2 linked regions of the Arabidopsis thaliana genome follow. The protein of the gene in region 1 interacts with the protein of each later gene in a biochemical or structural test. Each region holds a gene or a part of one and is shown on either strand. Other genes may lie near its edges.

The links.
Region 2: the proteins of AT2G25790 (region 1) and CLE45 interact in a test that uses a peptide from one of them, tested with the Arabidopsis thaliana proteins (one study listed by BioGRID).

Annotation. Positions count from the first base shown.
Region 1 is NC_003071.7:10,997,577-11,005,601, reverse strand, and holds AT2G25790 (Leucine-rich receptor-like protein kinase family protein), read right to left. Parts: upstream 5,117-8,025; 5' UTR 4,972-5,116; coding exon 2,460-4,971; intron 1,942-2,459; coding exon 1,571-1,941; 3' UTR 1,330-1,570; downstream 1-1,329. UniProt on the Arabidopsis thaliana protein: Receptor with a serine/threonine-protein kinase activity.
Region 2 is NC_003070.9:26,175,106-26,180,148, forward strand, and holds CLE45 (CLAVATA3/ESR-RELATED 45), read left to right. Parts: upstream 1-2,936; 5' UTR 2,937-3,044; coding exon 3,045-3,419; 3' UTR 3,420-3,820; downstream 3,821-5,043.

The sequences.
Region 1 (8,025 bases):
TAGCTGTTACGTCCCTTTCTACATTTATCCATAGTTTTACATAATTGTTTAATCTCAAAGCAAATCAACATTTTTGACAGAACAAAAAGCAAATGAAACACAACTAGCATGGAATATAAACTTTATGCCAAAGGCTGATTTCTGTTGTCGATTCGTGGAATAAGGGTGTTTCCGATGCGTTATCGATACTTTTTGCCAACAATATATATCATAATATGTTTTCTCGGAACATTTTTTGGGGGTAAAATGTTAAATTGTATCTCATTTTTGAGATTTGTTTTTACAGAATACAGAATACAACGAAGAGATACAGGTGACTGAAATCTACAAAACAAACAATATATTATGAAAGAAGGTCTAAAAGGGAAAATAAAATCAATGGAAGGAGTGCGCTTTGACAGAAGAAGACACGAATAAGCCATCAGTAGTATCTTTGTGTCTTATTGACGTTCATTTATATAAAAAAAAACTTTTATCTGAAATTAATTATCTGTAAGCGACATTATTTTGTAGTGAAGGAATAGTAGTTTGTTTTCAACTAGTAGTTATTATTTTGATAAATAAAAAGTATATTGGCCAGTCAATATTAATTTCTAATATATAGAAACATAATTACAAATGGATACCTCTAAAAGTTTGCAGAAAGCATATGAACAAAATCTCTCCTATGATGCAAAAGAGAAAAGAAAAGGTTTTCGATCTTCTCATTTCTATCATTATATTGCAAGAAAAAAGAATTTATATATAGACAAACATGCACATACAAAACATAAAATAAATTGTGGAAAGTAGATAATAAGAAGAGAATACAAGGAACAATGATGACAAACTTAAAAACCAAAGTGGGTGCAAGTGTTGAGTCCTTTTCTTATTGGCTATTCGTTTTGTTCCTCAATATCTTTTGACCACATTGTCGAAATTTCATGTTATTAAGTACAATTTTATTAAAGTTATCTACTCGATCCTCCCATTTAGTTATCTCTTGTAATTATTTTATCATTATTTCTTAGTTGATTCATAAAGATGAAGAGGACAGTAGTGCCAACTTATTACTTATTCTTTAACGGGTTGGTCTACCATAATGGATTAAAGGATTATGGAAACAAAAATGGCTTAGACCCGAACCGAGACAAACCAGGTTGCCTTTTCTCGAAGCCAGAATCGGACCAGTACCGGCCTATGTAGTGAACTTGTTACTTGTACCATCCCGATCAATTTGAAGTGAAGTAACTAACAGACACTTCATCGCTACATGTCACTTGTGAAATGAATATAGACGCTACATTGCATAATCATTGCTAGTCTAGTCACATTTTAGAACAAATTCGTCAACCCGGTCCACGGAAGAAAAACATGCATAGAAGATGTTCAAACCATTCTTCACATTATATATTATATATACATTCATCAGTAAACAATCAAGCATAAACAAAACCATCTTGATAGACAATATATTAATTTGGGTTATTAAACCTAACAAAAAAAGACAAAGAAAATGAGATTTTAAAACAAAAATAAGAACCCAAATAAAATTACATATATATAATGGGGTCAAACGAAGCCAGAATTGTCAGGCCAACGATAGTATCTTTGACAAATAAGTAGTGCAAGAAGAACTTGACGATGAGGTAGACTCTAATGCTTGTAACACGTTATTGGTGCATGGCCTCTCTTGCGGATCAATGGCCGTACATTTCAAAGCCAAGTTCATAACATGGACAATCTCGCGCTGATGCACTGATGTGTCAATGGATGAGTCGATCCACGTGTCGATATGGCAATTCGAATACGAATATCTAGCCCACTTGACCAAACTTCCGTTAACTCCAGATTCGATGTCCTCATTACTGGAGGAACATTTACCGGTGAGGAGATGAAGGAGGAGGATTCCAAAACCATAGATGTCACTTTTACTTGTCATCTCCTTGTGCTCTCTCGTTTCTACGTTACAAAACGAAGAACTAGCATTAGAGGAAAATAGAAACACAAATAAAATCCATTTAACATGTAACATGAAAACAAAAACATTTTAAGACATCCATTTTTTCTAGATTAATTAGTGGTGGACACGCAAACGGGAACCAAAGTTAAGATCATCAATTAGAAGCCGGATCCGAATTTTGTGCAATTAAACTGAATCAACCAAAATTGTATTGAAAATTTGATCTTTTAGCAATGTATATAGAAAAGGTACATTGAGTTATACTGAAAATCTATAATATTACATAACTTCTTAATATTTTTATACAAATTATTTATCCAAATCTCAATGGAAGCAGGAAAAAAAAAATCAAGATCAAACTGAATTAATTTTTGGATCGATTTTAGAGTATATTTTCCAAAACGTGAAAACCGATTTGTTTTTAACATGGGTTGTAATATTTGCATGGAAAGCCATTATTCTAAGTTGAATAATTGAATTTGGTCTTTTTGTTTTGACACAGAGATGTAAATTATACCTGGGGCCATGTAAGCAGCATCCATGCAAAGTAAGCCCGGAAGACCGAGACAAAGCCTTGGTTCATCGGTGACGTCGATGACAATATTCTCCGGCGATAAATTACCGGCAACAACAGCTGGAGAACACCGGCAATGTAAAAACCGAAGAGCTTCGACGATTCCCTTCATAATCTTCCTCCGTCTCTCCCAACTCAAACCACTTAAAACCTGGCTCAGCCGTTTCCCTTCGACGTCCTCATGTATCAAGTACGCCACAGTCTCCGACCGGCACGTAGCAACTATCTTAAGAATGTTTTTGTGGTCAGAAAGTTTCCTCATATCGGATATCATCTCGGGAAGAGAATCATACTTCTTGACCTCCTTAACAACGAAATGCACGCCGTTTTTATCCACAAGAACGTTTTGGTCCTTAAGAGACGATAGAATTGTGTTCACCGTAAACGATTTCATGAATTTTGAATCGAAGAATTGAGTTTCCCACTTTGTACCATCTTCTTGTTCCACTTTCTTGACCTCCAAAACGTTATGCGTTCTTTGAAAGACGAGAACGATAAAGAAACCAGAGACTAGGACAGCCAAGAAAGCTGCAAAGGTTGAAGTGATGATTAACCACCAACTCTTCGTACTTCTCTTTCTTACAACCTTGCAAGGACGTAAACCGCTAGCGGAATTTTCGCTACAAAGATCGATGTTACCCTCAACTGCTGTTGCGTTTATGGCAAGAAAAGCTCCGGTGAAAGGTAAGCTTCCGTGAAGAAGATTATGAGAGATGTTGACTTGAACAAGAGACTCAATGTTTCCTAGATTCTTCGGAATCTCGCCTGATAATTGGTTGCATGACAAATCAAGATCGCTGAGAACTTGGAATTCTGCGAAACTCGAAGGGATCTCTCCGGTAAAATTGTTGTGGCTCAAGTCAAGATTCACTAGATTTTTGCAAGAAGACAACTCCCTTGGGATCACTCCAGTGATTTCGTTCTCACTTAAATCCAAATCCATTATTTCCGGAAACGTCATGAGCCCTTGTGGAACCACTCCAGAGATTTTGTTCCGTGATAAATCGAGCTTCTTGAGTCTTTTGCTTCTAGAAAAATCCGGTAATTCACCGAAGAATTTGTTCACACTGAGGTCTAACATCTCAAGTTGTGGCATGTCCCATGTGTTGATGTTACCTTGGAGGTTGTTGTTGGATAAGTCCAAAAAGTTAACGAGTTGCAACTTGGTGAAACCTCGAGGTAACTTGCCTGAAAAGCCATTGTTTTGAAGCCTCACGCGTTCTAAGCTCTGACACATGCCCAAACTCGGTGGGATTTGGCTGTCTAGAGAGTTAGAGAAGAGGATGAGCTTAGTGAGATGGCCAGAATCACAAAGAGTGTCAGGGAGTTTTCCGGTGAGATTGTTGGTAGAAAGATCAAGAACAGTGAGATTGTTATGTTTCCCAAGATTTGCCGGAATTCCACCGGAAAATCTGTTTGACCAAAGCTGAAGAACTTTTAGACGTGGCAAAGAAGTTACTCCTTCTGGAATTTTTCCTGTTAAGTTATTAGAGAAGAGATGGAGAATCTCCAAGCTTTGCATCTGAGCCACGAGCTCAGGGATCTCTCCCGAGAGCGAGTTATCGCTAAAGTCGAGAGAAATTAGGTTTTGGAGGGAGAAGATGGACGGTGGGATCTGACCGGAGAGCTTGTTTTGATAGAGAAACATATACTCAAGCTTCTTCAAGTCACCTAGTGAAGGAGGTATCGGTCCAGAGAGATTGTTGTAGACGAGATCAAGGTGGTTAAGAGAGGATAACCCACCGATTTGGTAAGGGATTTCTCCTGAGAGATTGTTGTATCCCAAGTATATCCATTTCAAGTTTTTCATCTTCCCTAATTCCACCGGTACACCTCCGGTTAACTGGTTTGAAGCCAATGTTAAGAACTCTAATCTTGAGAGGTTTCCAAGATAGCCCGGTACATGGCCGGTTAAGACATTTCCACCGAGATCAAGGACTCTAAGGTTAGAGAAAACCCCGATGTCGTTGTAGATTTCACCGGTGAACATGTTGTTGGAAAGATCTAACGTGTAGAGGTTCGGAAGAAAGCCTCGAGGGATGGAGCCGGAAAAGTTGTTGTTGCTTAAGTTGAGGTAACGGAGAGAAGGAGACGAAGTGGTAAAGATATCGTGAGGTATTGGACCGGACAAGTTGTTGTTTGAGAGGTTGATAGTTTGAAGAAAAGGTAGGCGAAAAGTAGCGGCGGTGAGGATTTGACCGGACATGTTCTTGCCGGAGAGATCGAGAGAGACAACACGAGAGATGTTGTTGCAAACGACGCCACTCCAAAGACACACATCATTGGTTGAAGAGTAAGACCAAGAGGAGAGGTGTTTTAGAGGGTCTTGAATTGAGGATTTGAATGATAAGAGAAGCTCGAGTTCATTTGCATGGAGGCAGGAGAAGTTAAGAAACAAGAAGAATAATGTGGTGATGAGATAAGGAGGGTGATGATGATGATGAGAAGTAGACATGTTTGCTTTTGTTTCTTTGGCTTTGCTCTATTATTACATGAGGTTATTTGATATGTATATATATGCTCTTGTGTTGAATGTGTTGCTCTTAAGGACTGTGATTTGCTTTGAACCTTAGCTGTAAAACAGAAGAAAGAAAAAAATTAAAGGGGGATCAATGATGACCTTTGATTAGAAAGATTATAATAGTCTTCTTTGTCTTTTTTTTTTTTTTTTCAAATTAGACTTTTAATTTTTTTTTCCTTCATGTATAAAATCTTAGAGAGTTTCATAAGAAAGGCAGTGTGCACTATTCTTTGTACTAGATGGAAAAGGGATAAAAAGTGCTAGGATGGGCTACAAAAAGGGGAATATTACCAAAGTTTAAATTTTAAAATAGAAAGAAACAAAAAAGGTGTCGAGCACTTTGGCACCTTAAATTATGGCTGATTTATTTAATATAGATATTATTCAGTAAAAATATAAAGAAAAATAATATTGAATTAAGCATTTGTTAAACAAAAATCGTTCTTTAGATTATGAACTAGAACAAAAACTAATTTGTTTACCCTCAAAACACAAAGTAAGAATGTTGTTTACGTTGTTATATAATTTTCTCTTTTCCGAATTGAATTAGTTGAATCACCGGCTGGTACTCCTACTCTATCACAACTTAGTGTTACTTCAACAGTAAAAACTAAAACCAAATTTTAGAAAGAAAAAAAAAACACTTTGTGGCTTATTAATTTGTTTTAGGTTAATTGTATTCAACTTAGTGCATGTTAGAGTAAATTTAATATTAAGACCTAATTTAGGAAAAAAGAAACATTCTGTGGCTTATTAATTTGTTTTAGGATAATTATATTCGACATCGTATTTTATTTTTTGTACGTTAAAAACGCTAATAAAATTTTATATTAGAGAGCTAAGAAATCTTAAAAATAGCATGCTTAAAAACACTTGCATCATAAATTAGTTGTTATGGGAAGCTAATCAGATTATAATTGTTATGGTAAGAACTAATGCGAGTAATCATAGAAATATCACTGTTACTTTTCTTTCTCAATCACTTTTGTAATCGGACATTTGAACACGGACAGATGAGGATGGGATTGATGTCGTCAAAAAGCCTCTGAGATGTTTGTCGGCTTACTATCGAAATGTTCTTTTGACTGAAGAAAATCAAAACACTTTTTCTTGTGACTAAACATCTTATGTGAACGTTGAAAAGCATTTTCCCACTCTACGCACTTAATCATTTTTTTGTACTTAAATCTTTCCTAGTTAATTTGACCTTCTCTATAGTATTTCTGTTATTTTTAAGTATAAATTTATATAAATAGAAATTCAAATCCTGGCTACAAAACAATTTGTACGAATATAAATATATGTACGTAAAAATGTGATAACCTATGTCAATCACTGTATTATAGAGTAATTCATGTAGATTCACTTCGAGTCCAATTCTTTGTTTAAATTCATGTTGTACTTAAATTTAATTTTGCACTATATAAGTCTCAAATTTAGAACTTTATTGATAAATCATTCCTTATTAACCATTGTTTTTAAATACAATGTTTGCAATGGTCTTAGGCTACAACATTGTGCTATATTCGGTGACTACCTATCCTCATTGTCCTTCTTTATTGAATCTTTGGTCTCGCTCACTAGCCGTCTTAATAATTAAACAGGATTCTGATCTATTAAGCTTAGTGAGTATAATAATCTCGTCTACCTAGGTAAATACATAATCAATTCATGTCTAATTTATTCAATTAGCTCTCATACTACTATATATTTTCCACTTGATAAAAAAATAACCACTTGGTTCTTGTCTAATCAGCTTGGCTTAAATAACCTAAGCTTAGACCAAATATTAGCATAGACTAAGTCATGCTATATATCAATCCCAATCATGTTTCACCTACTTTACATAAACTATGTCTTCACACATAAACTTGATGAGTTAATTCCAATTTATGTGGTATATGTAGTGGTCTGTGGTCTAACCCATATGTCTTTTTTTAAACGACTTATCTACGTAGTTACCTTATCTCTCATCAAGCTTAACCAAATCATCTTTCTTAAACATAGAGCGTCCTAATGTTTTCTATTAACATATATTATGTTTTCTGAACATATATAACTGTTTAACGAGTCATCTTACATTTAAACCCCAACGTTATATAGTTTAGTTTCACTGGTATAGCTCTTGTTTTGATGATATATATATAAAACAAGAGCATTTCTAACCAAATTCCAATGGATTTTAATTGCTTTTATTTCTGATGAGAAAACTATGAGTGTACCACCCGGAAGGTAAGAAAATAAACGTTTTGAGTTATCGTATCGAAATTGTATAGTTTATGAATAGAGTTGTACCACCAAAACGCACATCGAGAACTAATTGCAAAGGAAAAATGGGTCCATAAAACAAAAAGAATGAATTTTATGGAGAGAATATACAGAGAGTGGTCATTGTCATGGAAGGGCATGCTTTGCTTAATTCCATTTTCTAGGGTTTTGCAATTCCCCCACACGCCCACTTTCTCCCACCCCACGCTTGTTCTCTTCCTTTTGTTTTCTTCCCTTAATTTAATGAAATAATTCCAACTTCCTCCCTAAATAGACTGATAAACTAAGAATATCCATATAAGGGTAACATATATCCCTTATCATATAAATAGGCAATTTCATGTAGAGAAAAGAACAACTCCATAAACATGTGATAACATAAGCTAAAGCATATAAGAACCAGTCCTCGAAAGAATACAAAAGATATATGGAATTTTTTTTATGTAAGATCATGAACCTTGAATAATTTGTTTTCTCCAAAGCTACACCAAAGAAAGCAAAAAAAAAACTAACTGAGGCTTAAAAATATTTATGGGTCTCAGTCCAAGACCTCCAAATTAAATTAGTTTTAAATGAAGACCAGAACGGTTATAAATGGGATCAGAACCATTTGGAAAAACTGTTGGCTTCATATTTTTTTTACGTTTCTAGAACCCTAAGAACAATTTCAAAGTGATGAGACTTTGATCTAATCGTTCGAACACCAATAAACACAAGACA
Region 2 (5,043 bases), on another chromosome or scaffold:
TTCGGATTCGAAACAATACCAAACACCAATTAATTTTTGCCAACCAAACCAATTTTTAGGAAAACTTATAGACGTTGGAATCGTTATATCACGAAATAATTCTCCTTGTGACAAGTTAGTTACACAAACTTGTAAGAATTAATAAGATTTAACTATAACCAAACATAGTTTTGGGTGTAAACTTAACGTCATACATCACTTGCACTTGATTGATGTGTAACGAGACTGTCTGATATGATGATATGCACATGATACTGTTACCACCTTTTCGCATCTTATGTCGAGCTTGATTTATTCGAATGTAGCCAAACAAGATATGTTAAAAGAGTACAATATGGGCCGAGTAAACTAATTTAGTAATTTCACAAAAAGAAAAGTATCACTTATATTTCGCACTAAGTCAGTTAGATTATGCTTAATGCCCATTTACTCAAAACTCGAAAGTGCCAAAAACATGGGCCGAGGAAGAAAAATAATCATATTCAAGCCCATCAATATACAGGCCCGTTTTTCCCAGAATGTCAAAATGGGTTGATTAATCAAGAATGCACAATTGTAATTCTCATAAATAGAAAACAGAATCTGACACCAACTACAGTATTTCATAAGTTGGACATCAATATGCTAGAAACAAGGAATTGTGAATCTTGTGATGGCAAGAGAACCCACACACCAATTTCTATTTTCTCCAACTAGGTCCATTTTAGTCCGCATGAGGCTAAAGCCTAAACCCCCACCGACGCAGACCATGGACACATCTGCCTATTCATTTTAGAGTGGTCAACCACAAGCCGGTCCAAAGCCTAAACCTTCAAATCAGGACAAAATTGGACCCCTAAACCAAAATTGGGTCAAAACAACTCAGTCCATTGCAACATCCCTAATTCATTTGCTATTGTCATCGCTCATCACTCATCAGCCAGTTGTTTTAATGATTGTGTATTGGACCTTTATCCACCGAGGGAATATCACCATCAGCTATAATCCAATAATAACCTCAAGTTTGCTTTGTTTTACTTTGCTTTAAACTTCTTTTGGATCCCTCCGACCACATCAAAGATCTGATTGGTCACATCAAAAAAACCCTCATGGGAATAAGATTATTATTAATTTAAATTCAAAAACCAAAACAATCTCCATCAACAACATTCAAGATTTCACTATCTTACAATATTTCAAAAAAAATGTATGTTTTGGGTTTTTTTAAGTAAAGGAAAAGTTGCAAACTTTAGGACTAACCTCGAGAATGCTGAAAAAGCAAAGGGAGGGGAACTCAAAATCAGCAAATGGGTATTTTTGTTTTTTGGACCAACGACTGGTCTCCTGCTTGCTTTGTTTTTGAGCCTGCAAACAATATCCAATCCTCAGTTTTAAAATATGTTACTTTGAGAACAGAACCTGATGCTTCAGAATGTTCTTAGTTTGCATGTGATTAAAAATATTTGTTATAAAGAAATTTAAATGACAACAGTAAAGAAAAGTGTAGTCAGATAAAGAAAAAGATCTTCCCTCATGAATAAATCAGATAAGGATAAAGAACAAATCATAATTAAGGGAGCAATATATCAAACAGAAGTGGTTCTTTTTGAATCATTGCATTGAGGATTAAGATCTGTTGATGAATCAACAAGGTGGGAAAAAGTACTAAGAGTAATTAGCATAACCAAACACAAACAAAGTACTAATTTCTTGAACTTTGGCAAGCAAATATTGAATCCCTCATGCTAGAATCTAATGGTAATTTCTACACTAGAGACAATAGATTTTATCTTAGACTACTATTACATAGTATTGCAGGCAAAAGTGACTATGTGGAGTTATGGTATGTGTTTTTTCGATATTGGTGTGATATTTGTGAGAAGATGTAAAGATGAAGTAGCACAAATAAACATGCAGCCGATGTTGTTGCTTAAAAAAGTGAGCTAGGGATCCTAAAGTGAAGGGGAGGAAGATCTTAGAATAATATAAAGAATCATTCTTAAAGAGGAAAAAAATAATGTATTTGTTTCTTTTCGAAGAGGGTTACTCTGTTGTACCTCTTTTTTGCCAAAGTTTAATGCTTTATATGAGTAGCTCCTGTAGGCTGTGTAGTAATGGAATAGTACCAACGGTTTGCATGGCCCACGGCTCCGGTCCTCTGTGTTCCTGCCGTTTTAACAAAACATCAAACAAAACCACTTTCCTTAACAACAAAGGAATTATACATAGCCAGAATCCACAACATTAAAGAGTGTAAACTTGAATGATTAAGATATAACCCATTGTTGTCAAAAAGTTAAAGGTATTGTATACTTCAAAGTACAATTTTGAAATCAAGGAAAAAGCTTTCGATACAATGAATATGCAATGCCATTGAACCGTAACTCAACTTTTCATGCTGTTTTTTTCGTAGTTTCGCTTAAACTATTCGTCAATATAATTAGAAACGAATACAACATATAATGGAACTATGGCAGCATAGGTAATTGGGTTATAACCAAAGCAGCTTATAGATGGTGTATACAAAGAATCTCACTAAACATGTTCACTGGTAAAAGTGTTCAAGAAAGTGTAAGTGTGTCAGTTTAACAGTCGCCTTCAACGACGTGGCTAGTTAGGAAGGTCTCCAGAAACCCAAATTAGGCTAATTTCCAGTCAAGATTGGAATGAGATGGATATGGTTAGACAAAAGCAAAGGATAAATGTAGAGATGTAGGGAAACCAATGAAGAAAGATACTTAACTTCCCAGCGGTTTTCGTGAACTGAACTCTTTTGTACAATCATTGTCAGATTCTTTCATAACAGCCTTAATCTACTTAGATTTCCAAAGCAATGTTTTTTAAGTGAATCTAAATTCCCCAGGGTCACAGGGACCCACTGTGCTTTTACACTTTAAAGCTTCCTCCAAATCCCAATAACTGATATATAACATGACTATATCTACAGGAAGGAACACACACAAAATCAGAACTCAGAAGGGCTATAATCTCATAACTCCTAACCTTCTCATTTCTTTGAAGAAAAGAAAGATACTCTGAATCTTCTTGTCTGCCTAAGAGCAGAAATGTTGGGTTCCAGTACAAGATCAATGTTTTTTCTTCTCGTCTGCATAGGATTACTAGCAGACAACAGATATAATGTCTCAGCCATGAGACATAGAGAGTTTTTCCTCAAAGAAACACAAGCAGAAAAAGCAGGAGTTCAGACAGAGGAAATTTCTAAGCTCAGGAGCATCGGTGTTCAATTCAAACACACCCTTGAAGATCAAGAAATGCTCAATAAAAACCGACGCGTTCTCGAGGAAGTTAACAAAGATAAAATCAAAGCTGAGGAGACACAAGAACGAAAGAATAAGACAGAAGACTCATTCAAATCAAGCAAGAGACGTGTAAGACGAGGATCAGATCCTATCCACAACAAAGCTCAGCCATTTTCTTAAACGGCGCAAGAGAAATCAAATACAGAAAAAGGCAATATACTATAGAAACGCAAGAAGAAGAAAAGGGCATAACAATCAACCTTATCAAAGCTGGAGGTAGGTTAGTTGGTTATTCTCAGGGTTTATTTTTCAAGTATAGGTTTTGATAAGAACACACAATATGGTGAAGCCATCAGATTATGCAGAACAGCATTATCTGTTCAGATACACCAAGAGAATACATATTTGTTTTCAAGATATTTCTTTGACCAAGTCCCCACTCTATTGTTTGCATTAGTTCGTATAAGTTTTGTTCTTTCTGCAATGCTTTTGACTCCCACCAAAACATGTCCTATGTATATAACATATCTCAAAAGTTTTGATTTTGCTACAACTTCACTATGCAACCTCTATTTTCACACAAATCACATTTGCACTTGAAAGGTAAACAATTCTGTCTTTCTAACAAATATCAAACTTATCATTTGAGTGAAAATGAAAATCTAAGAAATTGGAATTCTAAGGATTCTTCATGAACGTAGCCTTAAGATCAACCTTCAAGAAATTTACAATCACATGAAGATTTTAGTGGAACTAATACCTACATTGTGATGCGATCCAACTAATAATCGGTAGATCAACCTCTCAAAATCGAAGTATTACTTAGGCGCCATGAAAACCAGCGGAATACGAGGACTTACAGTTATTCTCCGAATACATCTTCCGGCGAGTTTAACTCCGCCGCCGGATCAGCAGTTTCCTCATACGGTGGGGAGGAGAATCATTGGCACCTAGCCGCAAGGAACGGCTCGCTACGACGGTTCAGTCGCCGAGGGCCTAACGGTGCTACCAGAGAGCTTAGTTTAGTTGTTAGGCCCAGTTCATAAAAATAACTCTCTTTGGGCCTAGGCCTTTAGATATTTTTTTATCCTGCCCAGCCTTGATGTGTTTGATTTGTGCTCGATGATTAAAGTTAAATCCATCTTTTAACTTTAAGAAAAAATTTGCATAAATTAATAGATTTATCGTTGTCCATCAATAAAATGGATTTATAATTTTACTATACAATTTTAATGATGGAAATATAAAAATAGTTTTTAAAAAAAATATGTATCTTGTTTGAATCTAATGTTAAATTGTATTCAAAAACAAAACAAAAAAACATTGATACATATGAATGTAAATTTTTCTTAAAATAAATTATTAAGAGATTCTATGATCTATCTTCACCTCTTCTTCTTAGTACGCTCAAACGGATTTCATGTTCTTGTCAATCAATTTAACGATTTTCTTCGTGGTCGAAGATTGGTCTCGTGCCTCCTCTCATTTCTTTATCACTAAATAAAGAGTATCGTGTTTTGAAACAGTACTTGGGAATAAATTTTGTTGTGGAATCAAGATCTTTACTCGCAAGCTCTCTCGTGATATCCTTCTATTTTGTCTGAGTTATCAGCTCTTCCCACACCTTTCTCGAATACTGGCATTGAAAAAACAAATGCTCTCTCGTCTCCAACGGATTTTTACAAAATACGCAATTTGTATCCGCATTTTGGTTCCATTTAATCATTCTTTATTATGTTGCAACTTTGCTTTTCACAACCAGTCAAGTGACAACATCATACTTTGGAGTAGCTTTGGAAAAACT